Linked DNA regions of Mus musculus. The protein of the gene in region 3 interacts with the protein of the main gene of each other region in a biochemical or structural test. Links are inferred from orthologs where the notes say so. Each region holds a gene or a part of one and is shown on either strand. Other genes may lie near its edges.

Region 1 (8,004 bases), on a different chromosome or scaffold from region 3:
CGACCAAATATGTAAATCGGCCTATTTTCCGCCCACAGCAGTTACTCACTGTTTGGATGGCACCTTAAGAAAATCTTTCCCAATCTGATGCATAGAAATGACTATCCAAGGTTCTCTGCCCCAGTGTGGGGGAATGCCAGGGCCAGGAAGCAGGAGTGGTAAGTTGAGGAGCAGGGGGAAAGGGGGAGGAGGGATAGGGAATTTTCGGAGGGGAAACTAGAAAAGGGATAATATTTGAAATGTTAAGTAAAGAAAGTATCTAATAAAAAATAAATACATTTAAAAAAAGGAGTATCTCAATGTGGCTTTGATTTGCATTTCTTCTCTTTTTAAAAAATGCTATTTACTTTTAAAAATATGTGTGTGTTTGCATATCTGTGCCTGCAGAGGTCAGAGGTCAGGCATCAGATGCCCTGAGGCTGGTACTTCAGGCAGTTGTAATGCTTGATCCTGGGAATTGAGCTCTAGTTCCACTGAGCTATCCCTCAAGCCCCTTGATTTGCATTTCTTTCACGAGCCTGATTTTTTTTTAAAAAGAAATTCTCCTGTGTGCCTGTTTGCATCTACATCTTTGAGCCCTCTGGGATTTATTTTGAGACTAGGACTGTCTCATCAATGAAGACCTGTGCCCGGCCAAAATCAACATCATTAACAGTCAAGTGCAAACTCAAAAAACTAAAGCCAAACTGAAATAGCACTGTACCAATGTTAGTGGCTGAAATAAAGAGAATGGCCAGGGCTAATAAGGTTTCAGATATCTGACACTCGTTGCCTGTGGAAACAGCAGTACAGTCACACAGAAGAGCGGCTAGGCCTGTCACTCTGCATCTCTTGTCTCAGCTATCTTTTTTTTTTAATTCCTGACCATTGTGACCAAATATCCAACAGAATTAATTTAGGGAAGGAAGGGTTTACCTTGGCCGGTGGTTTGAGGGTATAGTCTGCCATCTTGAGAGGAGCACAGGACTGTATAGTCACGTCTCAGTCAGTCGTATAGTCACGTCTCAGTCAGTCGTTTCAGTCAGCCAAGAAACATGGGGATACACCAGTACTCAGTTTGCTTTCTCCCCCTTGAAATGAAACTACCCATTTAAGGCAGATGCCTGCCCCCGCCTGCCCCAGTGAACCTTCTCTGGAAACACTCACAGGCACACCCACAGGTAAGCCTCACTAATCCTCTGACCAAGTTAGTTATCCAAAGGAACTACCCATCACCCGTGGTCTGGCATAGCCACTGCACCACTGGGTAGAGAAAGGAGACTTGCATTAAATCTGTTATTCCCACCAAGAACCAGCCACAGACTGGTTAAGTAAAATGATGTTTGCTTTAGTTTATGAGTCTAGAGCTTCAAGTCCAAAATTAGGGGGCCTAATGGGGGGTGCAGTGCAACATGAGAGGAGCACAGGCTGGTGGGAAAATCCATACACCAGGGCCAGGAGAGGGGGGAAAATTGGGGCGCTACAATCTCTATGTCCTCAACAATTTGAGGACCTCTCATTAGGCTTCAGCCCTTATAGGTCCAAAACTTCTCCAAACTACCTCAGCAGGGAACGGCATTTATGTGTGGGCCTTGGAGGAAGACTCCCCACACACACTATATGCATACATACATACATACATACATACATACATACATACTACAATGAGGGACATTGGAGTTGCTATTTTTGCAATTCCCAATGAACCTGTAACTATATCAAAAATGTATATTTAAATTTTAAAGGAAAATAAGTCCAGGTAACATGCAGAAGAGAGCTTTTCTGAAGGCCTTCCGGTTATCCATCCCAGTTTCCCTCCGAAGTTGCTGTATTCTCAAGGGCCTGCCCCCCTTTCTTTCTCCCCAGAAATACAAGGTTCCCTGCAGAGCAGATTCCAGTTGAGTCCTGGTGCCTTAGACCACAACAGACTCTAATTGCATCCATTAATTAAAAAAAAAAAATCAGCGTAGGCTTTCCTCGGTTTCCACCAAATGTTGTATTCTAGCACATTCCTTTGATCAGATAGATCGTATTTAGCAATCCAAAGCATTGTTCTGAACCATGTGATATTTAAGTGACAGACATGGGGAGCCTGGGCTAGAGTGTTCATTTCTTTTATTAGTTTGGTTTGTGCATGTGTGCTGTCAGTTGTTTAGTTGTTAGTTAGTTAGTTAGTTAGTTAGTTAGTTAGTTTAAGACCGGGCCTCATTATGTAGACCTGGCTGTCCAAGAAATCCCTATATAGACCAGGCTGGCCTCAAACTCACAGAAATCCACCTACTTCTGCCCCTCTTCACTGGGATTAAAGAAATGTCACCCACACACAGCTTGAGTGTTTATTTATCTTTTCTTTCTTTCTTTCCTTCTCTCTCTCTCTCTCTCTCTCTCTCTCTCTCTCTCTCTCTCTCTCTCTCTCTCTTTCTTTCGTTCTTTCAACAGGGTTTCTCTGTGTAGCCCTGGCTGTCCTGGAACTCACTCTGTAGACCAGGCTGACTCAGAAATCCACCTGCCTCTGCCTCCCAAGTGCTGGGATTAAAGGCATGCGCCACCACTGCCCAGCGAGTGTTTATTTCTTAAGAATACTCTTTCCTGGTGTTACACTACCTGGTCAACTCAGTAAACGAGACACTGTCATACTACTTGGACCTTCCCTAATAGACTTCTGCTGGTTGTCTAGATGTGTCCAGCTGGGAGTCCAGCGTGGGACCATAATGAGCATGATTGTCAGACCTAGGATCAACTTAGACTCGGTAGATCTGGCTTTGTTATCAGTCTCTCTTACTATCTGAACACAATTAGGGTAGGTGGAAGCGACCTGCCTGCTCAGTTCTGATTCCAGTAAGAATTTGGCGTTTGTGGCTTCTCTGGCAAAGGGCTTGAGAGGGAAACCAGGAAAGGTTAAGGGCTCATCAGGGAAGGGCTCTGGAGCCTAATCCGCCCAGGACTCGCCCCTTGAGGGTCACCTGGAGCCCGCGGCAGCCAATCGGGGAGCAGCCGTGTCCCCGCGGCCAATGGGCAGGCGGCGCGGCGCTCAGCATGGCTATAAGTGCGCGCGGCCCGGTGATAGCAAAAGCGGCGCGCAGCGGAGGAGGGATGCTTAGGGTAGCGGAGCCCCGAGAGCCACGGGTGGAGGCGGGTGGCCGCAGTCCTTGGGCAGCGCCACCCACGCAGTCCAAGCGGCTCACCTCCTTCCTCATCCAGGACATCCTGCGGGACCGCGCGGAGCGGCACGGGGGACACTCAGGCAATCCGCAGCACTCGCCGGACCCTAGGAGGGACTCCGCTCCAGAGCCCGACAAAGCAGGGGGTCGCGGCGTGGCTCCGGAGGACCCACCAAGTATCCGGCATAGCCCCGCGGAGACACCGACTGAACCCGAGTCTGGTAAGCGGAGTAGACCAAGCGAGCACCATGCACAGGAAAGGACCGCTCTTGGGCTAATGGCCCCGAGCTCTGGATGCAGGAATCCTGAGGTTGGGGGTGGGGGCATGGCCACAGAAAGGACCTCGCTGTCCGCCCCACCGAGCCACCTTGAGCATCAACCCTGAGAGCAACTAATAACTTTGCCATCGACTTGACTCTTTTCCAGCGGCTGCAGACATTTACCACTGGCTACTAGAACTAACGATAACCATTAATATTCATAAATCAAGCCCACTCTTAAGTTCCCTTCGTCTCCATTCCACGAGCCATAAAATTATGGATGTTCTTTTAAGTCTTTAGAAATAGAATCGCGTCCAATTTTATCCTCCGGCCCCAACCACTTTTCATGCTGGTGACTAAGCCACAGTTACAGGAAGAGGACTAGGGCAGGAGATGAACTGGTTACCATCCCAGGCCACCTGGCTCATCTCCACAAATCTCAGTCACCCACTTCAATGTCCCTACGATGCCTCCGTCTTCCCTGTTGGCACCTTACCCACCTCTCTTTGCAACACACATCCAGGATCCACATTTCACTGATGTAAAACAACAAGGCAGAAAGATCAACTGTAAACCGCTAAGACCTGAATGTAGTTCACACTGATTATTAGAAACAAATACATAGTATAAAAAAAGCCTGCTCACTTCTTCAGGGTAGTTTCTTAGTCTTGCAAACAAAGTGAAAGTATCCAGATGACAGTGGGCTTTTTGTTCACTAGCAGAAAACAAAAAGGTGGTTTGAATTCTGAGCTAACATGTAACTTTTCCTCTCTCCTTCTGTTCTTCTCCAGATGCACATTTTGAGACTTATCTTTTGGACTGTGAACATAATCCAGGGGACTTAGCAAGTGCCCCCCAGGTCACCAAGCAGCCACAGAAGCGCTCCCGGGCCGCCTTCTCTCACACTCAGGTGATTGAGTTGGAGAGGAAGTTCAGCCATCAGAAGTACCTGTCTGCCCCTGAGAGGGCTCACCTGGCCAAGAACCTCAAACTCACCGAAACCCAAGTCAAAATATGGTTCCAGAACAGACGCTATAAGACCAAGCGAAAGCAGCTGTCGGAAGACCTGGGAGTCTTGGAGAAGAACTCACCATTGTCTTTGCCAGCCCTGAAAGATGACAGCCTGCCCAGTACCTCCTTGGTCTCCGTGTATACTAGCTATCCCTACTACCCCTACCTGTACTGTCTGGGCAGCTGGCATCCATCTTTCTGGTAGCAACAGTTCTGCTGATAACTGCATATATCAGAAACTGTCTTCCCTGGGGGTCTCTGGGAAAAAGCCACAGTGGCTGATGTCAAGGAGTCGGAAGCAAGAAATGTACAGATGCAAACTGTTGGGGGTTCCCAGGGAACACTCCAATTCTTCTCTGGTGGGCAGGTGAAAGATCTGGGGCAGTGACTATTTGAAGATGTAGTCCCAGTTCCAAGTGTCCTGTAGGTGACTGCTGCCCGCTCCCCTGTTTAGAGAGAGCCAGGCAAGTTTGAGTCTTGTTTCCAGAACTTAGAATGGCTACAGATGCAATGGCTATATCGTTCCTAGGAATTCTGTTGTGGCAACTCCATCCTCTCCCATGACTGAGTATCATGGAAGGGCCAAGCAAGGGGAGGGATGGCCCCTTAGATGAGGATTTCCTCTTGAGTTAAACTTGGGTCTCCTGTTGGCCTTGGACTCTGGCCAGAGTTTCTCTCTGCCCTTGTAAAAATGAGGGTAAACGGAAGATTTGAAGAATGGGGGTGGGAGGGGGTGACCCTTAGTGATTGAGGCAGGTTGGCATAGAACGTGAAGGGGGTGGAAGGTGGAATTTTCAACTTACCCTTTTCACAGTGATGTGCCAGTCCAAGGATTTACAGGGCAGCCTGAGTGTGGCAGGGTACACACGCGGAGGGGGTTAAGACAAGCTGTGTAAACAGTTTGCCTGCAGGGGTGGGCTGCAAAACAGACTTCCTCTCCAAGACATGGGCCTATGGGGTTTCCACACGCCAGGTGAGCGGCTTCCATCAGGACTTTATATTAGCAGGGAAGAAAAGGACTCTCCTGCCCTTCCTGCTTAGACTCAGGAGGGCCTGCAGCTTCCCTGGCCTGAAAATTCACACTTTGTGATGACAGAGGTGCCATTAGTTTTAAACAAAGGACCTTCCAACCCTCCTTTTTATTTCTTGTTCTTTCCTACAGGACCTCTCCGTTCATGCTTTTCATCTGTGCCTGTCTTATTTCGTGTAAGATTTGCTCCCACCTCCTCCCAAGGTTTACCTTTCTTGGTTTAACAACTTAACTAGCTACAGACAGATTATGACATACTTTTAAAAGAAAAAAATGAGCAACTCATCTCTTCCCTTTAAAAATATGACATACTTTAGAGAGAGAAAAAAAACCTAGCAACTCCTCTCTCTCTTTCCTTTAAAAATACTCAGCATTAAATCCCAAGCCCTATTTAAAGACATGAGAGCTGAAGATGACAGGTTCTTTCGCAGGGCTGTGTGCTAGCTCTGTGTTACAGTTCAAAGGCTGATGCCCATTGGGGTCCTGGGGATCCCTGTAGGCAGAGGTGGTTTAGGGGTGCTTGTTTTTCATGTGTAAGGAAGAACAGGACAAAAGGAAGGGCTGGCACTGCTGAGGGATCTGGGGGAGATGGAGGGGTCCTGCTGTCAGCCCAAGCTAACCAGCAAGGAGAGGTAAACTGTCTTCAAAATACAACCTCACCGAGGCTTCCATCCACAGATGTGTGTGTGTGTGTGTGCGCGCGCGCATGCACGCGCAAATGCTTTGGAGAACTATGCTTAGGAACTACCCTAAAGTGGTAGGAGTGAAAAAGAGAATTGGTTGACCTTCCCTTTTCCATCCTGATATCTCAGGTAACCTGCCGAATGGGAGATAAAGGAGGTAGAGCACACTTATAACAAATGAGACTTTCTGGGGCCAGGAAATCCCTTTATCCCACCACTCAGTGCTATACAGTGAGAAATCTTTTAATTTCCTCCTTTTAAATGGGCCAATTTACTGTTGGTGGCAAAACTGCCAAAGGAAGTTGATAGAAAGCTGGCGGCTTGCACCCTGTTCTTTGACAGCCCGGGTCCCCATGTTAAAGTATTGTTCCGTGTCCCTTGTTGCTGACCACTGTGGTAGCGTTAGACCATACCAAAGCCGGAGGAGTCCAGTTCTCTTCTTTCTATCCGTCTTTTGGCTCTGAGTTCCCTATCAGTACTTTCTCTCCTCTCACTCTGACTAGAATCTTTTTCAGCGTGCACTTTCACTACGTTTGAACTATTATAGTGTGCAGTGTGTGGCAAAGTCAGAAAGGGAAAGGCTTGTGTTTAAAATTATGTTGGGGAAGTCTGACTCAATTTTGCTTTCTCCATACTGGAACTACCCATTCACCCACACCTGAACTGGTAGAAACGTGGCCTGTTGTCTCCAGCCTGTGAATGGGAAAGGTATCGCTGTGGGTATCACCTGGGTGACATATCTCTGTCCTGTTTCGTCAATCAGTTAGCAAACCCCGGCTCTAACAGAAAAGTCTGTCACTTGGCATTTAGTATAGTACTCCACTCAAAACTTTATTTTTCTACGGGTTTTTTTTTTTTTTGCAACCTATGAGTGTTTTAAAATAAAGCCTCTATGTCTTTATTAGACACCTGCGTGTGGTTTTCAGATTCTTGCAAATGGGTTTTCTTTTTAGCTTGCATTTTTCACGGTGGCCATGTTCCCACAGGACACTTGGCTGGCCTGACAAGTTACAGACACAAATCAATCAAAGCAACAATTCAGCAAGTAGCCAAGAGGGTTTCTTTTCGCAGTGACCTCTCCTGCCATTCTGGTAAATCAAGGAGAGGGAAAAAAACAGGTCTGCCTGTATTAAACTTCCACCCACAGCAGTGGTGTTGCTGTCCCTGTCATCCCAGCACTCAGAAGGCGGAGGCAGGAGGATGAGAAGTTCAAAGCCATATTCTTTGGCTACACAGTGAGTTTCAGACCAACCTGACAGCATGAGAGCCTGTCTCAAAGTTATAACTCATCACCTGCACCCGTGTTGGAATACCTCGCGTGTAACTGAAGACTGTTCACGTATGTAGTGACCCTGAGGGAACAGGATGATCACAGCAGTTTTCAAAACGTCCCTTTTCTTATAATCCCTGGCTCCCTCACTCCTAAACGTGTCACCTGTGTCCAGAGTCCCATTAGCTTCATGTAAGCGATGTCCCTGACATGGGATCGCTAGTCTACAGCCTGCCCACCCACCCTGAACGTGCCCAAGCTCATCTGAAATGGGACCACAAGTGTTGAGGATAAGTCGTATTACAGAACTAATACACATAAACTGCACACCTCATCCCCAGCATTTAAGCCTTCCTAAAACCACACAAAGTAAGTGCCTCCTGGGTCTGATGGCCTGTGAGAGCTGGTGGTCTCTGCCCCTCCTTCAAGGAAATAAAAGCTTAAAGGGGAAGGTGCCTACTTCAGGCAATCCATACCATAATTTCAAAGTGTGCCCTAATCTTTTAAGTACATCGCACACACAGGTGGGGCTTCTTGTAGCAGGCAAGAAGCATGAGGTTTAATTTGCACAAATCTACAGCCACCCTCCTGTCCCAGGGAAGGGTATTAG
Region 2 (7,880 bases), on a different chromosome or scaffold from region 3:
AGAGCATGACCGGGAGCTGCTGGTTTAATTGGACCTCTCTGCAGAGGTGATAGTAAAAGGTACCTAATTGGAATGAGAAGAGGGAAAAACTAGATAACCAGGAGTATATTTCAGGTAGAGGAAGCACAAAAGCCCTGGGACATCCTAGGCTTTATTGATTGGACTATTAGCTAAGGAGCCATTGTGACTAAGGGACAATAAGGGAGGGAGTGTAGAAAGTCAAATGATTTTCTAGGTGTGAATCCTGCTGGGTTTTAGAGGTCACAGCAAGGACTCCATCTTTTTTCTTTTGAGGGTTGTGAAACTTTGAGCAGAAATCTGATCCATTTTGGAATATGATGCTGTGTTGTTGAGTGCACAAGTTGGAGCTCTGACAGCTAAGTGGAGGTGTTTAATTAATATGCGCCCAGAGTTCTGGGAAAATTGGAGACTTAAATAAAAATATTTGGGAAAGATCTACCATATTTTCAGAAAATTTCTAACCCTGTAACTTACACAGATTTATTTTTATTGCAGACTAAACCATACACCATTGTTAGCTCGAAGCCCAGGATATTTCCAGTAAGTCTCAAAATTCCAGTTTTTTGCTTGTATGTTATCCCTCCCCACTTCTACAAGTGATTGCCAAGTTCATCACAATAAAATGGTCTTTTCTTACTGTCAGCTTAAATGCAGTTTGTGTATCATAGGAGGAAGGGAGGAGGGCTGGTGTGATGGTGGAAAATGAGGAGCGGATACTGTATGTCTCCACCTTGTTTGATGACCTTGACTGCCCTACAGTAGGAGGCACCACCAGGTTTCTCAGGGGTCAAGAATTACAGCACGAGCCTGAAGAGATAGATGTACAGGCAGCTAACAGCTGAGGTTCTGTCATTCCCAGATTCTAACTTCTTTGGCTTTATGCTTATAGTTCTCAATCTGTGAAGTTAAGACACATTTGTGTCAATTTCAATTTTATGTTACAAAGATGTAAGCTCTAAAAGTAATTTAAAAAATTCCCTCATGCCTTTAATACTAGTACTCAAGTTGTTCAACGCAATAAATGACTGCTACTATGTGAGTAATGAATGAGCCTCCATAATGGTAAATTGAAACTTAAATTAAGTAGCATATGTTACAGTTATCTGTTAAGAGCCGCAAAAGGAGACTTTTAGGGAGAACCATCAAATTTGGCTAACAGTCCACCCTGGAACTCTGCTTTACAAACTAACAAGAAATGTCCTGTAATCAGTGTATGTCAGACCCCAGGCAGCCTCAAAGTTGGGCATTAACTTGATGGTTTTGTTAGCTGACTAATATTTATTTATTCTTTGCTTGCCTGATTATTTAATTATATGTTTATGATGCCATTCATGGTCAAAGGAGAAGACAGGCTCTGTTTACAAAGCCATGTCAGTGGTTTCGTAGCATTTCTTTATTTTCTGAATGTCCTCTTTTGCTACAGCTGTCCTGTTCTGTGTCTGTGTTGTTGACCAGTTCCAGAGTCTCTCTCTTTTTTTTTTTTTTAGATTTATTTATTTATTATATGTAAGTACACTGTAGCTGTCTTCAGACACTCCAGAAGAGGGCGTCAGATCTTGTTACAGATGGTTGTGAGCCACCATGTGGTTGCTGGGATTTGAACTCCTGACCTTCGGGAGAGCAGTCGGGTGCTCTTACCCACTGAGCCATCTCACCAGCCCCAGAGTCTCTCTTTTGAGAAACTGAAGACCGTCTGTGTCCTCTAGAATAGACCAGGCCATGACAGGGTTCCAAGTCTCTGGCTTAACAGAACAAGTTTCCTTCTTCCTGATAGGATAGACTAGTATGAGTCAGGCTGTCCTCCCAGTCTGTTTGTCCCAGCCCTTATTAAAATGAATAATAGAGCATAACTAGCTTTTTCATGCAGTGCCTGAACATGGACTAGCATAGAGTGACCATCTATGCACAGTATTTTTGAAACTTGGAGGTGGATGTTGAGACAATAGATTGAAGGAATAAAATACTAAATCTTGTAATCAGAAGGATGTCATTACCTTGATTGTGGAGATAGATAGTCTCACAAGTATATCCATGCTTCAGAACTACAGTCTACCGTCTAAATATGCACTTTAGTATGCCTTTTAATTTTTAAGTCCTCATGTAATAGTTTGATTAATCTTTTTTAGCTTCATTTACAAATCAGTACAAGTAAAAAATTAGCACCTAAATTGAAATGTTTTAGGTAAAATGCAAAATAATTTTAATGGCCTTTTTTGGGGATTCTTTTTGTTGTTTTTTTGTTTGTTTTAAGACAGGGTCGATCTATGTAGTCTTGTCTGCCCTGAAACTTGCTATGTAGACCAGCTAGCTTCAAACTAGAGATCTGCCTGCCTCTACCTCTAGAGCACTGGGATTAATTCACCATCAGACCTGGCTTAAATTTAACAAATGTAAAGAAAGTATCTTTATAGTCATTTATTGTGTTGAGCAAATGTTGGAATATTTACAATGAAATGTATATTTGGTGAAAAATCTCTATTAAACACTTCCTGTTTTCCCTAGGGTGATACAATTCTGGAGACTGGAGAAGTAATTCCACCAATGAGAGATTTTCCTGATCAACATCATTGAAGAGTCCTTAAAAACTTAACAGACTTGTGTAACAGCACAAGTATGTTCCTAAAGTGCTGTATTTACTGAATCTGTTTCCTGGAAAAGTAATTAATAAAGCTTATTCTCAGAGTGTTATCACTGTCCGTGTTACTGTCCAAAGGTTCTATGATTTGAGACTAACAGTAAAAAGACAAATACTAAACAGAGCTATTAGCTACTTTTTTCTGTCCATTTTGATAAACAGGATGCAAAACACATTTTAGTCACAGTGTTGTTTACATACTGATTTGACATGAGGATGTGAAGTGTTTGAGCACTAGAATGAAAAGCTATGACCTGATACAAAATAGAGCCGGGCGTGGGGGCGCACGCCTTTACTCCCAGCACTCGGGAGGCAGAGGCAGGCGGATTTCTGAGTTCAAGGTCAGCCTGGTCTACAAAGTGAGTTCCAGGACAGCCAGGGCTATACAGAGAAACCCTGTCTCGAAAAAAAAAAAAGGGGGGGGGGGGTGTTGTCCGATCATTTTGAAAAATTGGCATGTTAACGCTTATCACAAAAGGCCACACGCAAATTTGTATTGTGAATTTTACTTTGAGTCTACATAGGTGCCATCTGAAGAAAAGAAGTGTTTGCTAAGAATTACAAAAGTTCGTTCAGAAGAACTTGTCTGGAAACTCCTTCTGTAGTTGTCGTCGTGCAGCTACAGTCGATGCATAGATGACGAATCCCCAAGAGAGCAAGACGATTGCAAGGAGCAACTAAAAGGAGGGGAGGAAAAGCAAAAAGAAGAAATCAATGTGCCGGGTCCTTTCCCTGTGTAGCCCGAGCAAGCAGCTACAGGTGGAAAGGCATCACATGCCTCTAACACAGTGCAGCCCAGAGGCAAGCAGGCCTGCAACCCCTGACGTCAGAGGCGGAAAAGCGTGTCCTCCAGGAAGAGGCGGAGCCGAGGGCAGGGCGTGAACGCTCAATTTAGGAATGGGTTCTGGAGTTCCAAGCTGCGAGCCAACAGTCTACCTTCGGCTCGCGGGCCCTGCCATGGTGCGCTCTGGAGCTCCGCTCTGCTCGGTACCTACCAGGGAGTAAGTCCAGTCCAGGCTTCGGCGACTCATCGGCCTCATGGTAAGGGAGCAGCGGGGACGGGGTGGCAAGGGCCCTACAGCCTGCTCGCGGGCGCATTGCACCCCGATGCAGCAGCCATTTTTCAGCGGGACTCTGCGCGCTCCCGCGGGCTTCCGCCCGGAGTTGGAACACATCACGTGATCCGGGCCTAGCCCGCCTTTCAGGCAGCAGAGGGAATAAAAGAGAAAATGTGAAGATCGCGCCTTTTTTGCGCTCACATAGGAATTCCTTAACTGCTTTATCCTGCATTTGCAGTGCGGTATTAATACAAGATAGTGTGCCATCGTGTGCATATAAAAGTTTATTGGAAAATAGTCCACGGTGGAAGAATCAAAGTTGCCGTCCCACACCCACATCGGTTTCCACCAAATGCGGATAGACCTTCATATGTTTATGCTTGACTTAAACATCTTTTACGTAACAAAAACATCGTTGGGAACTGTTAGTTGAGCCGTTCACCAAGAACAAACAGAATATTATCGCTGATGGCTGGAAATCTTTTCAAATATGTTGTACAGGTAGCCCGCATGGTGGATCTGCCGGCCAACAAGTGTTGACGGGCAGTTTGTCGAATGCTTGGGACTGCAGCAAGTTTGAAATACTAAGTCCCGAGAAAGGCAGCTTGGCAGGCCAACTATCAGGATGCTGGTGGTGTGCAGAGTGGAAGCCTGGCCGGCAGAGGCTGGGCCGCTCGGCTTTGGGCGCAGATGTGTCAGATACATTTTTAGTGTAGATTTCCGAGAGTGGAAAGAGGGAAGCGGGCCGCAGGGAGTTATGGCGGGGTAAAAGAAATGCCTGATGGTCAACCCAGCTGAAATAGACGGAAGGACCAGGGTGCTCTGGGAGCTCAGTCCAGTTCCCGTGGCACCATAGAGAATCCTAACAACTTGTTGAAGTTTGTGAGGTTCCACTGATACTGAGGCAGCCTTTCTGCATATTTGGTTGTGATTGTGGAGTTTGTGCTGTGCCCCCCCGCGGTGGGGGCAGGGCAGGGTCCGGGGTCTGTGCCGTAACGTCCCGCCTCCTGCGTGCGGCAGCGGTTTGGCGCATGCGCCCAGAGCTCGGGGGAAGGGGGTGGAGGAGCGGTGTTTTGCTGCGCGGGCTCGGGGGGTTGGTCTCGCCTTCTCTCCGCCTCCAAACTGCCTGTGGGTGATGAACGTTCTACGTCATAGGGGTCGCAGCCGCCGCCACCGGGGTCTCCGCTGTCTCGCGAGGAGGGTGAAGCGCCCCCTCTGGTGCCTGCCGAGGAGGGGAGGCGCCGAAGCCGCCGGGTACGCCTTCGCGGATCCTGCCGCCACCGGCCGAGCTTACTGAGCCGGCGGGAGCTGGCTTCCAACGGCCCAGCGGTTCCTGCCACCGCGTCCTCGGAGGTGAGTCGGCCGGGAACAATGGGTGAGGGGTTCCAGTAGGCCCTGGAGCAGCCCTGTGGTCTGGGCCTTCTTCCACCCGGAGCTCCCAAGGGCTGGGGTCGCCACGCTGCAGGGCACCTGTGGATCGGCACCGGTGGGCAAGCGAGGGGAGTGTCTCCCTGCACTGCCTGAAGGGCTGGAGCGCAACTGAATACGGGATAGAGCTGTGTGTCGGCGCAAAACAGTTGCCACTGTTAGGAAGTGTGACCTTGGTAGGTCCCCAGCCCTGGACCCTGTCTGTGAAATGGGATCAGCATTTCAGTTGGTCGTGTTTATGTAACATGCATGGTGTGGTTGTCTTTCCATCCGAGACAGTAGTTTTGGACTAAGGAAGCTGTTAAGGCTAGAGGAGTTGTGCAGTGCTACACATTGTGGGCAGGGCTTGTATGCCTTGTGACTTTATTACACATCTAGTTAGTGCCCTTTGCTCATGGGCTGCTGATTCTGATTGGTAGACTGGAGAGGGGCAGTTACGGGATTGAAGGCACGGAGATTAAGACCGGAACTGGGAAGCAGCAGTTCTACTGGGCACCGTCCTATGTTAAAGTGGAGAAAGAAGGAAAAAACGTATGTGTCTTAAGAGTTGAGCTAGTACAGGGTAGAGTGTTTCGTTTGAGAGGATTTGAGGGTTTGGAAATAGATGGAATGCAAAGTGCAGGGCTCTTCAGTCAGTCACACTCAATGCGTATCTAGAAGGAGAGGCTTTCACGGGGCTAGCTTCCAAGCAACCCTCACCCCTTTTATTTTGGGGCAGGGACTTTTGTAGCCAAGAGTGGTCTGGAGTTCCCTACTTTGCAAAGGATGACCTTGGTCTTCTCACCGTCTTGCCTTCATATTCCAGTCTTCTGGGAATGCAGGAATATTCCAGGGTGCCTGGTCCCAATTAAATTTTATTATTACCAGAATTGAAATTCAATCTGGACAGTGGTGGTGCATACCTTTAATCCCAGCAGAGGCAGAGGCAGGCAGAGCTCTGAGTTCAAGGCCAGCTTAGTGTACAGAGTGAGTTCCAGGACAGCCAGGGCTCCACAGAGAAACTCTGTCTAGCCTCACTAAAAAAAGAAGAAATTAAATTTGGTCATTTAGGACTTAACAAATTTTAAACTATTCAGATTTACAAGTAGAATGCAGATTGCTTTTTACCAGTCATTCTGTTTTATCTATTTGTGGATGTTGTTAGCTGCTTTGCTTAGATATGTTAAATATAATTGTTATCATCTTTGGAAACTGTCAGAGGTGTGGGTGATGATCACTACCAATATCAAACTTTTCCATAACTTAAGCAACTATGTTGAACTCTCATCATCAAACCCTGCACCAAGTGTTTGCTTATTCAAATTGTATCCCTTCACACAACTTTTTTTTCCCCCTTTTCAAAAGACTATTGGTATTCTGTCTTAGTTAAGGTTTTACTGCTGTGAAGAGACACCATGACCACGGCAACTCTTAATAAGGACAACATTTAATGGGAGCTGGCTTATAGGTTCAGAGGTTCAGTCCATTATCGTCTAGGCAGGCATGATGCAGGCAGAGCTGAGAGTTGTACATCTTCATCCAAAGGAAGCCAGAAGTAGACTGGTCCAGGTGGCTAGGAGGAGGTTATCATAGCCTACCCCGACAGTAACAAGTTTCCTCCAACAAGGGTGTAACCCCTCCTAGTAGTACCCTGGGTCAAGCATTTTCAAACTACGCCGATTTTAGAGTTGAGAATATTTGAGAAGTAACTTTCAAGTTTGTCCCAGCTTGATCTTTGTGGAGATCCAAAGTAAGAAGTATTGATTCTAGTTGGATGTGGTGTCCATGCCTTTAATCCTAGCACACAGGAGGTGGGGGCAGGCAGATCCATGAGGTGCAGGCCAGCCAGGCTACGGGGAGACTTTATTCTTGACCCCACCCCCCAAAAGTGGCAATTCTCAGTATTATTTTCAGTAGTGCTGCATTAAAGTGCAGTCAGATGATTGAGTTCTGTGTCCAGTGATAATCTAAGGAGTGCTTTAGAAGCTGACTTTTGTAGAAAGCCTTGACTTGGAAGGGGGTGGGGGGGAGAAAATTCTGAAGTTCATGATCTCCATTTATTTTCCCTAGATATGTTGACCCTGTTACCAGAAATTTCCCCAAAATTATGGTATAAAGGGGATTTTAATCTTTGTTAGAATCAGCAGATTGGAAGATCAAAAAAGGAAAAGTTGAGTGTATCCTAAAGTAATAATAGATTTCCCTTTGGACTTGGCTTTTTATGAAGAGCTGATTAATCTGCTCTGGAGGTATTGGTTTGTAGCCCTGATCCTTAGGTTAGTAGGGTAGAGGAACGTTTACAAGGCTTCCGTCTAGAATACAAAATACAAAATTTAAATGGGTCCATCTTTGCTGCTAAAGTCAGGACGTCTTCTGCAAGTACATCGCCGCCCAGTCTGCCTGTTCCCTACCTCCCCACTATAGTTGTTAGTGTATTCACCGAGGCATGCAGTTATCACCCAAGTGTAATTACGGAACAGTTTGGTCTTCTCAGAAAATCTCATCAGCTCAAGGCATCTTTTCCTCCTTATTGAACTACTTTGGTCATGTGTATGAATGGTACCATACAGTGTGTGTGTGTGTGTGTGTGTGTCATTTATTAGATGTTATGTTGTAGCATTCAGTACTTTATTACTTTTATCACTAAGTAATTTTGTGTTCACATGTTTTTTATATAAGCCACTGGGTCCTGTTAGTGCTGCTTATATCCATATAGCTGTAGGGTTATCCAGAGGGGCTTGGGCGGTCTACCAGTAGCC
Region 3 (7,207 bases):
TGAAAGTTATTGAACCCCTTGTTTAAAAGCCAAACAAGCCCATACAAATAGTACACACTCAGTTGTGAGGAAATGTTGACGACTCCCTAGCACATCCAAAAAAGCATTACTTTCTGAGCATTTGTTAAGATCTGGAAGTAAGCCTTTTTATTCCATGCACCCCCATGCTTTCATGTGGTCCTATGGGTTAGGTCCTTTTGTCTTAGGTGGAAAACAATATACAAAAAGAAATCACTACCATCTCCTCTTTGTTGTAGGATCTTTAAATCTCATGTCTGTGTAGGGGCATGTGCGTTTGAGTCCTGCAGTGTGGGAGGCATTAGATTCCTCTGGAGCTGGAGTCACAGGTCACCTCTGATATGCGTATTGAGCACAAGTCTTCTGGAAGAGAGCAGCATGGGCTCTCAATTGATAAGCCATCTCTAACCCCAGATTCTTAGGGGATTTTCACCTTGTAAAATTCTGCCTTGTGGAATTTTCCTGATCTTTCTCACTTGACATTATTGATCCTTGCTTTCAAGTCCTTTTCTACTCAGGGTGGTAACAGAAATCTTTTGTTGTTTAATATCAGTCTTTATTTTTTTTATAATATTTTTTATTTAGTATTTATATATTTTACATAATGTACAACTCCACACTTCCCAACTACTACCAGATTCCCTACACACATCATTCTCTCAACTGTGACTCAGTTGAAATAGTGGTGTCCATATATGCATACATAGGGGCTGTCCAATGGGGTGTGGGAAAGCTACCAGGTATCACACCTCAAAAGAGACCACTACAAATACACACTAGCAGCTATCAAATGTCAATAGCTCCTCAGCTAGGAGTTGGGGTTTATGTATCCCTCCCCATTTCATGATGGAATGTTGATACTGTGCAAGCAACCAGAGCAGTTCCTGAGTGCAGTGTGGCCCTACCATGTTTAGAAGACACCTTGGCCCCAGTCAAGTTTGTACCTCTTTAAGTCTTTCCATCACCTTTTCCGATGCTTCCTGAATTTTGAGGTCAGAGTGTGTGATGTAGGGGTTCAATTCATGCCTGAATATTTCACAGACATTCTGTTCTCTGTAATTTGACCAGTCGCAGCCCTGGTATTAACCAAATCCATTGCACAACTCTTCTGATGAGGACCAAGTCTGGGGGTGTACAGATATGTGTTTAGAAAGCAGCCTGGTGCCATGTCCATTTAGCAAAGTCTCATCAGTGCTTTTCTTAACCCATCAGACCTGTGAGTTCCCCAGCTATAGGTTCTCAGATAGGTTTATATTACCAAGCACGTGTGACATTTTCATGGGCTTTAGGATCAGATCTCAAACTTTATGCCAAAAGCTCTTTTGTTATGTTTTTAAAGAAGCCAGGTAGTCGTGGTTGGTGTACACCTTTAATCCTAACATTTGGAGGCAGAGGCCAGCAGATCTCTGAGTTCAAGGAAGCTAAATCTATGGAGCTAGCTCTAGGACAGTTAGGGCTATATAGAGAAACCCTGTCTTGAAAAACCAAAGAAAGAAGGAAGGTGTTCCCAGAAACATTTTTTTTCTCAGTCAAATCAGAGACCATTTTAAATGCAGAAGTGAGAAAATGGTGAATAATTACGCCTATTCATGGAAGCTTTTGTCTTCCTTGGTAATTACATGTTGTTGTCTTGGGTTCTGTTTCTTTGATAGGTCCCTGAAACCGCTATGGCTGTCTTGAATTTAATGGAATTCAGTGCTAGCAGAGAACTGGAGCATGCATTCCACAGCAAGGCTGTGGTGCTTCTGAAGCAATGGAGATGCTTACATCCTTTATGTTGACAGAAGTCAGTTTGGGGGCATGCTTGGTGGATCTCACAAGAGTGGGAACCATTTTTTAGATAGGAAAGCTTTCTTAGCAATTATACAGGACGGAGTCAGTAGAATAGCAAGTATTCTTGTCATGTTACATGCCCCAGACTTTCTCTTCAGTTCTATGCTTTTCCAGCTTTGGTTAAAATCAGGTTCCTGTTTTGGGGTTCAGAGCTCTAAATATTCAATGTGTTGCTCCACTGCAGGGTGAGAAAGACTGGCAGAAGTATGAGACTGCGCGGCGTCTGAAGAAGTGTGTGGACAAGATCCGAAATCAGTATCGGGAAGACTGGAAGTCCAAAGAGATGAAAGTTCGTCAGAGAGCTGTAGCACTGTACTTCATTGATAAGGTGGGGACATGTTCCTTTATCCACATTGGACAGTTCTGTTTACAGGTATAGGGAATGTCTACAGTATAGGGATCAGGAATGTATATCTGCTGTGTGACTTATAATCCAAATTTACTTAAGTAGGAAGAGTAGATGTGGATACAAAGAAAGAGGCATGTACAGTATGTTGGCTATTGAGCAGTCTCTATAACAAGAGGATCTGCATAAACTGAACATTATTAGTTAGTTTGTTTGTTTGCTTGTTTTTGGTTTTTCGAGACAAGGTTTCTCTGTGTAGCCCTGGCTGTCCTGGAACTCACTTTGTAGACGAGGCTGGGCTCAAACTCAGAAATCTTCCTGCCTCTGCCTCCCAAGTGCTGGGATTAAAGGCGTGTGCCACCACTGCCCGGCTGTTTGTTTTTTTAATAACTGTGATGCTCAAGATTTTTGACCATAATCTGCAAAAGTACTTACTTTATGTCAAAATCCAACATAACAGTTTTATTTATGTGAAATTAAATCGAAAGTTGCACAAACCACTGGTTAACTAGTAGCATTGAATTCTGGTGGTTATTTCTCATTTCATTCTTTTAGAAAATGACAATTATAACCTATACAATTCTTAAAAAAGTGTGATTTATGATAATTGCAGTTTGAAAGATAGTTTTTTTAGTGCTCAGATTTTTTTCTTCATTTTACACTTAAATTTTAGCCCAAATTCTGAATTCACACAAAATTGATAAGTTTTTAATCTGACTGTTCTCATGAAAATATGGTCTCATTTGTTGCCTTGTTTTAATTTTTTTCTTCTTCTATCTCTACTCTAAGGATGGAGTAGAGAAACTTGGGTCTCTGGGTATTCTGTGACTGACCTACCTACCTACCTACCTACCTACCTACCTTCCTTCCCTCCTTCCCTTCTTACCTCCCTCTCTCCCTCCCTCCCTCCTCCTCCTCCTCCTCCTCCTTCTCTCCCTTTCTCTCTCTGTCTCTCTCTCTCTCTCTCTCTCTCTCTTACTCTTTTATTTGTTACTATATTTAAGTACACTGTAGCTGTCTTCAGACCTGAAGAGGATGTCAGATCTTATTACAGATGGTTGCAAGTTACCATGTGGTTGCTGGGCTCTTAACAGCTGAGCCATCTCTCTAGCCCTGTGACTTTCTTATGAGTTGAGTTTCTAAGTTATGTAGACTGATGTTCATTCCATCTACAAAATTGGGGGCTTCTGGTTTAGAGTGTCATTGAGATTATATGTGGTCTATGTTTCTTCACTCATCTCTTTCTGAACAACTCTGTTCCCTTTCTTGCACAGCTTGCTCTGAGAGCAGGCAATGAGAAGGAAGAAGGAGAGACGGCAGACACTGTGGGCTGCTGTTCACTTAGAGTGGAACACATCAATTTACACCCAGAATTGGATGGTCAGGAGTATGTGGTGGAATTTGACTTTCCTGGGAAGGACTCAATCAGATACTATAACAAAGTCCCAGTTGAGAAACGAGTAAGTTCATGTGGCCTGTGCTTCTTTCTCTAGCTTGCTCTTTTTACATGTTTGTTTATTCAGCAAATATTTTTTGAGGGCTTTTGCATGTTCTGCATTTTGATGAGCTCTAGTAAAATTGATCTCAAAGAAAGAAAAGAGATAATATTTGGTATATGGTGTGCCTCATTTCATGCCTGCCCTGCAACCTCTGCTACATTGCTGGGAACCTGTGGCCATCTCTGGAAGCAGTTTATAACAGAGTCTGCAGAGAGTTAGCCTTTATAGCAAACTCAATGTTAAGATTGAACACAGCCGCTTTAGTGATTTAAGCATCACAGCATCTGCTGATCACTTGTTATCTTGTGGTTTTTCTTAGCCCCAGTCCAAGCCCCAACTGAATAAAATGGTAATCTTTCAGTTCTCAGTCTCTGAGCTCATCTCTGTAGACCCATGAGATAGACATAGGTACCTACTACTTTCGCCCATTCGATAACAGTGGGTGCCAGTTCAATCGAGTAACTAGGGTAAGCATAGGTTGGCTATAAGGGAGTGTTTTTGTTCTTAGGAAGTAGATGCCAGGATGTTTGATGCTAACAAACATCCTATTTGAGTTACAATATATACCACAAATGGCTGAGAACTGATACTTAGGTATTTATGTAAATTTACACATGCAGAACAAGAATTTGGGTATAATATATATAGGTTGTCTTTCTACCTTTTCTCTTTTTTGAAAGTTATTGTGAGTTTGAAATTATTTCTAAAAAATTTTAAAATAATAATTGGACTTGTTTTAGGTTTTTAAAAACTTACAACTGTTTATGGAGAACAAGCAGCCTGAGGACGATCTTTTTGATCGACTTAATGTGAGTAAACACAGGACACTAGGCTAAAGTCCAAGGCAATCTCAAGCTCCTGGGGTCAAGAGTTGTCAAAGGGTATTTGGACTGTCCATTCAGTCTAGATTGTCCAGTGACATTCTACATATCCCTCCTCCCTTGGGGCACTCAGTCATCTGTAACCAGCAGCAGACCCTCCCTCCTCCCACCCTGTGGGTGGTGCTGTGGATTCCTACCAAAGCTGCAAGGCAGAGGGAGCTGAGCTTTCCATGGATCTTCCCTCTTCCTTTCATCCTTTCATGCTTTCATGAGACGCCCAGCTGCCTTTGCTACAGACCTAAGGCTTTCACTTGCTTTCTTTACTGGGAGAGATATTTATAAGAAAGAAAAAATTTGTTGTCTTGAACTTAAGATTAAAGTACTTTATAGAAAGGCACTATGCAATCCTTCCTGTATTCTGGAATTATTTTCCCTCTTTGCTAACTTCCTCTGTGAAGGACAGGACAGTAACTGGCAGGATGGTGGCAGCACTGGCACAAGGACTCCTAGTATTCACTGTAAGGGAAAGGGTGATTTGGTGTTTACCTCAGTTCCAATATCCTCTTTGTTGTCGTGTTTAATGCAGACTGGTATTCTAAATAAACATCTTCAGGATCTCATGGAGGGCTTGACTGCCAAGGTGTTCCGTACCTACAATGCCTCCATCACACTACAGCAGCAGCTTAAAGAGCTCACAGCCCGTAAGTAATACTCTGTATGGTTGTCCTTGGGATGGTGCCAGTTTCCTTCTCTTCATTCTTTCCCGCCAACCTCTTGAAGAGGCTTTGCTGTCTAAGCAAAACCAAGGCCTTTCTTCCCACTGCTGCTGCAAACTCTAGATTAATCTCATAGAATACTAACAAGAGCTTTGCATCTGGTCTAAAAATTTTTATGTTTTATCTGTGTTACTTACAAGCTCAGAGGGTATAGGCAGTGGTGTTAAATTGGGGAGAATAGAGTTGTCATGGTTACCAGAAAAATGTAGTAGTAAATCTTTTTCTTTTTTTCTTTTTGGTCTTCATAATAGTATGTAATAATTACCTCTGGGACCTTAGAACTTCTTTTCCTCTCCATTTAAAACAAACTCTCACACTGTAGCTAAAGGCTGGGCACATTCATCATGTGATCCAAGCTAGTGAACCTTCTGCTTCAGCCTACCCACAGCTGAGGCTGTAGGCAACCCTTCTGCTCCTGCCACTTGAATTTCCACTGCCTTCTATAAATGTATCAAATGCTCTTAGACGAGCCAGAGATGGTATGCTGGAGATCAGTAATTAGGATTGGTTTAAACAGTGGCTAAAAAGCCTGGATGTGTTGGTGGCAGCCCAGCACTTGGAAGCAGAGGCAAACAAATCTCTTGAGTTTGAAGCTAGCCTGGTCTATAGAGCAAGTTCAAGGACCCTGTCTTAAAAGAACACCCCATCCCCACTCCTACCCCTCCACAAAAAAGAAAGAAAGTCAGATCCCTAGAACTAGAGTAATAGATGAAACCAAACCCAGGTTCTCTGCATGAGCAGCAAGTATTTTTTAACCACTGAGCCTTCTCTGCAGCCCCTGCAGTATAGCTTAGGATCCCTTCATCTCATTCTCCTGTAGTCATTTCTTCTAGCACAGCTGCAGCATTTGCTACATCTGCCTAGTAAGTGGGAGACAGGGAATAAGAAAAGCAGTATAAAGGTCTGGGGGCTTTGGGTTTTTGTTTTTTGTTTTGGTTTGTTTGTTTGTTTAAAGATTTACTTGTTTTATGTGAGTACACTGTCACTGTCTTCAGACATACCAGAAGAGGATATTGGATTCCATTACAGATGACTATGAACCACTGTGTGGTTGCTGGGAATTGCACTCACAACCATCTGGAAAGCAGTCAGTGCTCTTAACAGCTGAGCCATCTCTCCAGGCCCAACTCTTGAAGTTTTTAAGAAACAAAACCAAAAATATAGATTTCCCTGTAATGTAGACAAGCTGGGCAGTAGTTATAGCTATTCAGGAACTTAGCAGTTTAGAGACCACCTGGACTTCATAATGAGACCTGGACACAAAATCCAGTAAGGGTAAAGAAAAATATAAAAGAGAGGCTCAGAATTCCTCCTGTGACAGAAACTCATTCAGGTTTATGTAGAAATTTACTGCCTTTGACTCAAATGTTGACCTTGAAACTTGGTTATGATAAACTGAAGGTTTGTAAAAACATCTAGAATGCATTTCATGTGTATATTCTTGGTATACAAACTGACCCAGTTACTATTATATTTCTTTGTAGCTGATGAGAATGTACCAGCGAAGATTCTATCTTATAACCGTGCCAATCGAGCTGTTGCAATTCTTTGTAACCACCAGAGGGCGCCACCAAAGACCTTTGAGAAGTCAATGATGAACTTGCAGTCTAAGGTATGGTGGGTCCAAAGGTAGGGTAGCAAAGGGAGTCCATGTCTGATGTCTTCTGACAAGCAGAGGCTTCTGGAATCTGACATAGTATGGCCTGGGATAACAGCAGGCTAATCTGGGTCGGTTTAGAAAGATTTTTTTTCAACAAATGGAAATAATTTGATAGTATCATTGTTTTTTTTTCCTAAAATATTTGTGCTGGAGACACAAGTTCTCTATGAGCCACTTTCTGTTTTGAAGTGCTAACTTTGACATACCACTGAATTGCTAGTTGTTGTCCTTGTTATACTTAGGGAAAATGGAAA

The links.
Region 1: the proteins of Top1 (region 3) and Nkx3-1 form a complex in vitro, tested with the Homo sapiens proteins (2 studies listed by BioGRID and IntAct). The link is inferred for Mus musculus from reciprocal best matches to the Homo sapiens genes TOP1 and NKX3-1.
Region 2: of the proteins of Top1 (region 3) and Topors, one has a biochemical effect on the other in vitro, tested with the Homo sapiens proteins (2 studies listed by BioGRID). The link is inferred for Mus musculus from reciprocal best matches to the Homo sapiens genes TOP1 and TOPORS.

The regions. Positions count from the first base shown.
Region 1 is NC_000080.6:69,187,633-69,195,636, forward strand, and holds Nkx3-1 (homeobox protein Nkx-3.1), read left to right. Parts: upstream 1-3,059; 5' UTR 3,060-3,072; coding exon 3,073-3,361; intron 3,362-4,191; coding exon 4,192-4,616; 3' UTR 4,617-7,026; downstream 7,027-8,004.
Region 2 is NC_000070.6:40,265,491-40,273,370, reverse strand, and holds the start of Topors (E3 ubiquitin-protein ligase Topors), read left to right. Parts: upstream 1-3,529; 5' UTR 3,530-3,651; coding exon of another isoform or gene 3,652-3,694; coding exon 3,695-3,697; exon of another isoform or gene 3,698-3,792; intron 3,793-4,869; coding exon 4,870-5,067; intron 5,068-7,880. Other genes in the region: Ndufb6 (NADH dehydrogenase [ubiquinone] 1 beta subcomplex subunit 6), read left to right, coding at 517-561, 2,524-2,592; Smim27 (small integral membrane protein 27), read right to left, coding at 3,229-3,333, 3,652-3,696. UniProt on the Homo sapiens protein: Functions as an E3 ubiquitin-protein ligase and as an E3 SUMO1-protein ligase. Probable tumor suppressor involved in cell growth, cell proliferation and apoptosis that regulates p53/TP53 stability through ubiquitin-dependent degradation.
Region 3 is NC_000068.7:160,710,610-160,717,816, forward strand, and holds part of Top1 (DNA topoisomerase 1), read left to right. Parts: intron 1-2,035; coding exon 2,036-2,179; intron 2,180-3,471; coding exon 3,472-3,657; intron 3,658-4,436; coding exon 4,437-4,505; intron 4,506-5,103; coding exon 5,104-5,218; intron 5,219-6,777; coding exon 6,778-6,905; intron 6,906-7,207. UniProt on the Homo sapiens protein: Releases the supercoiling and torsional tension of DNA introduced during the DNA replication and transcription by transiently cleaving and rejoining one strand of the DNA duplex.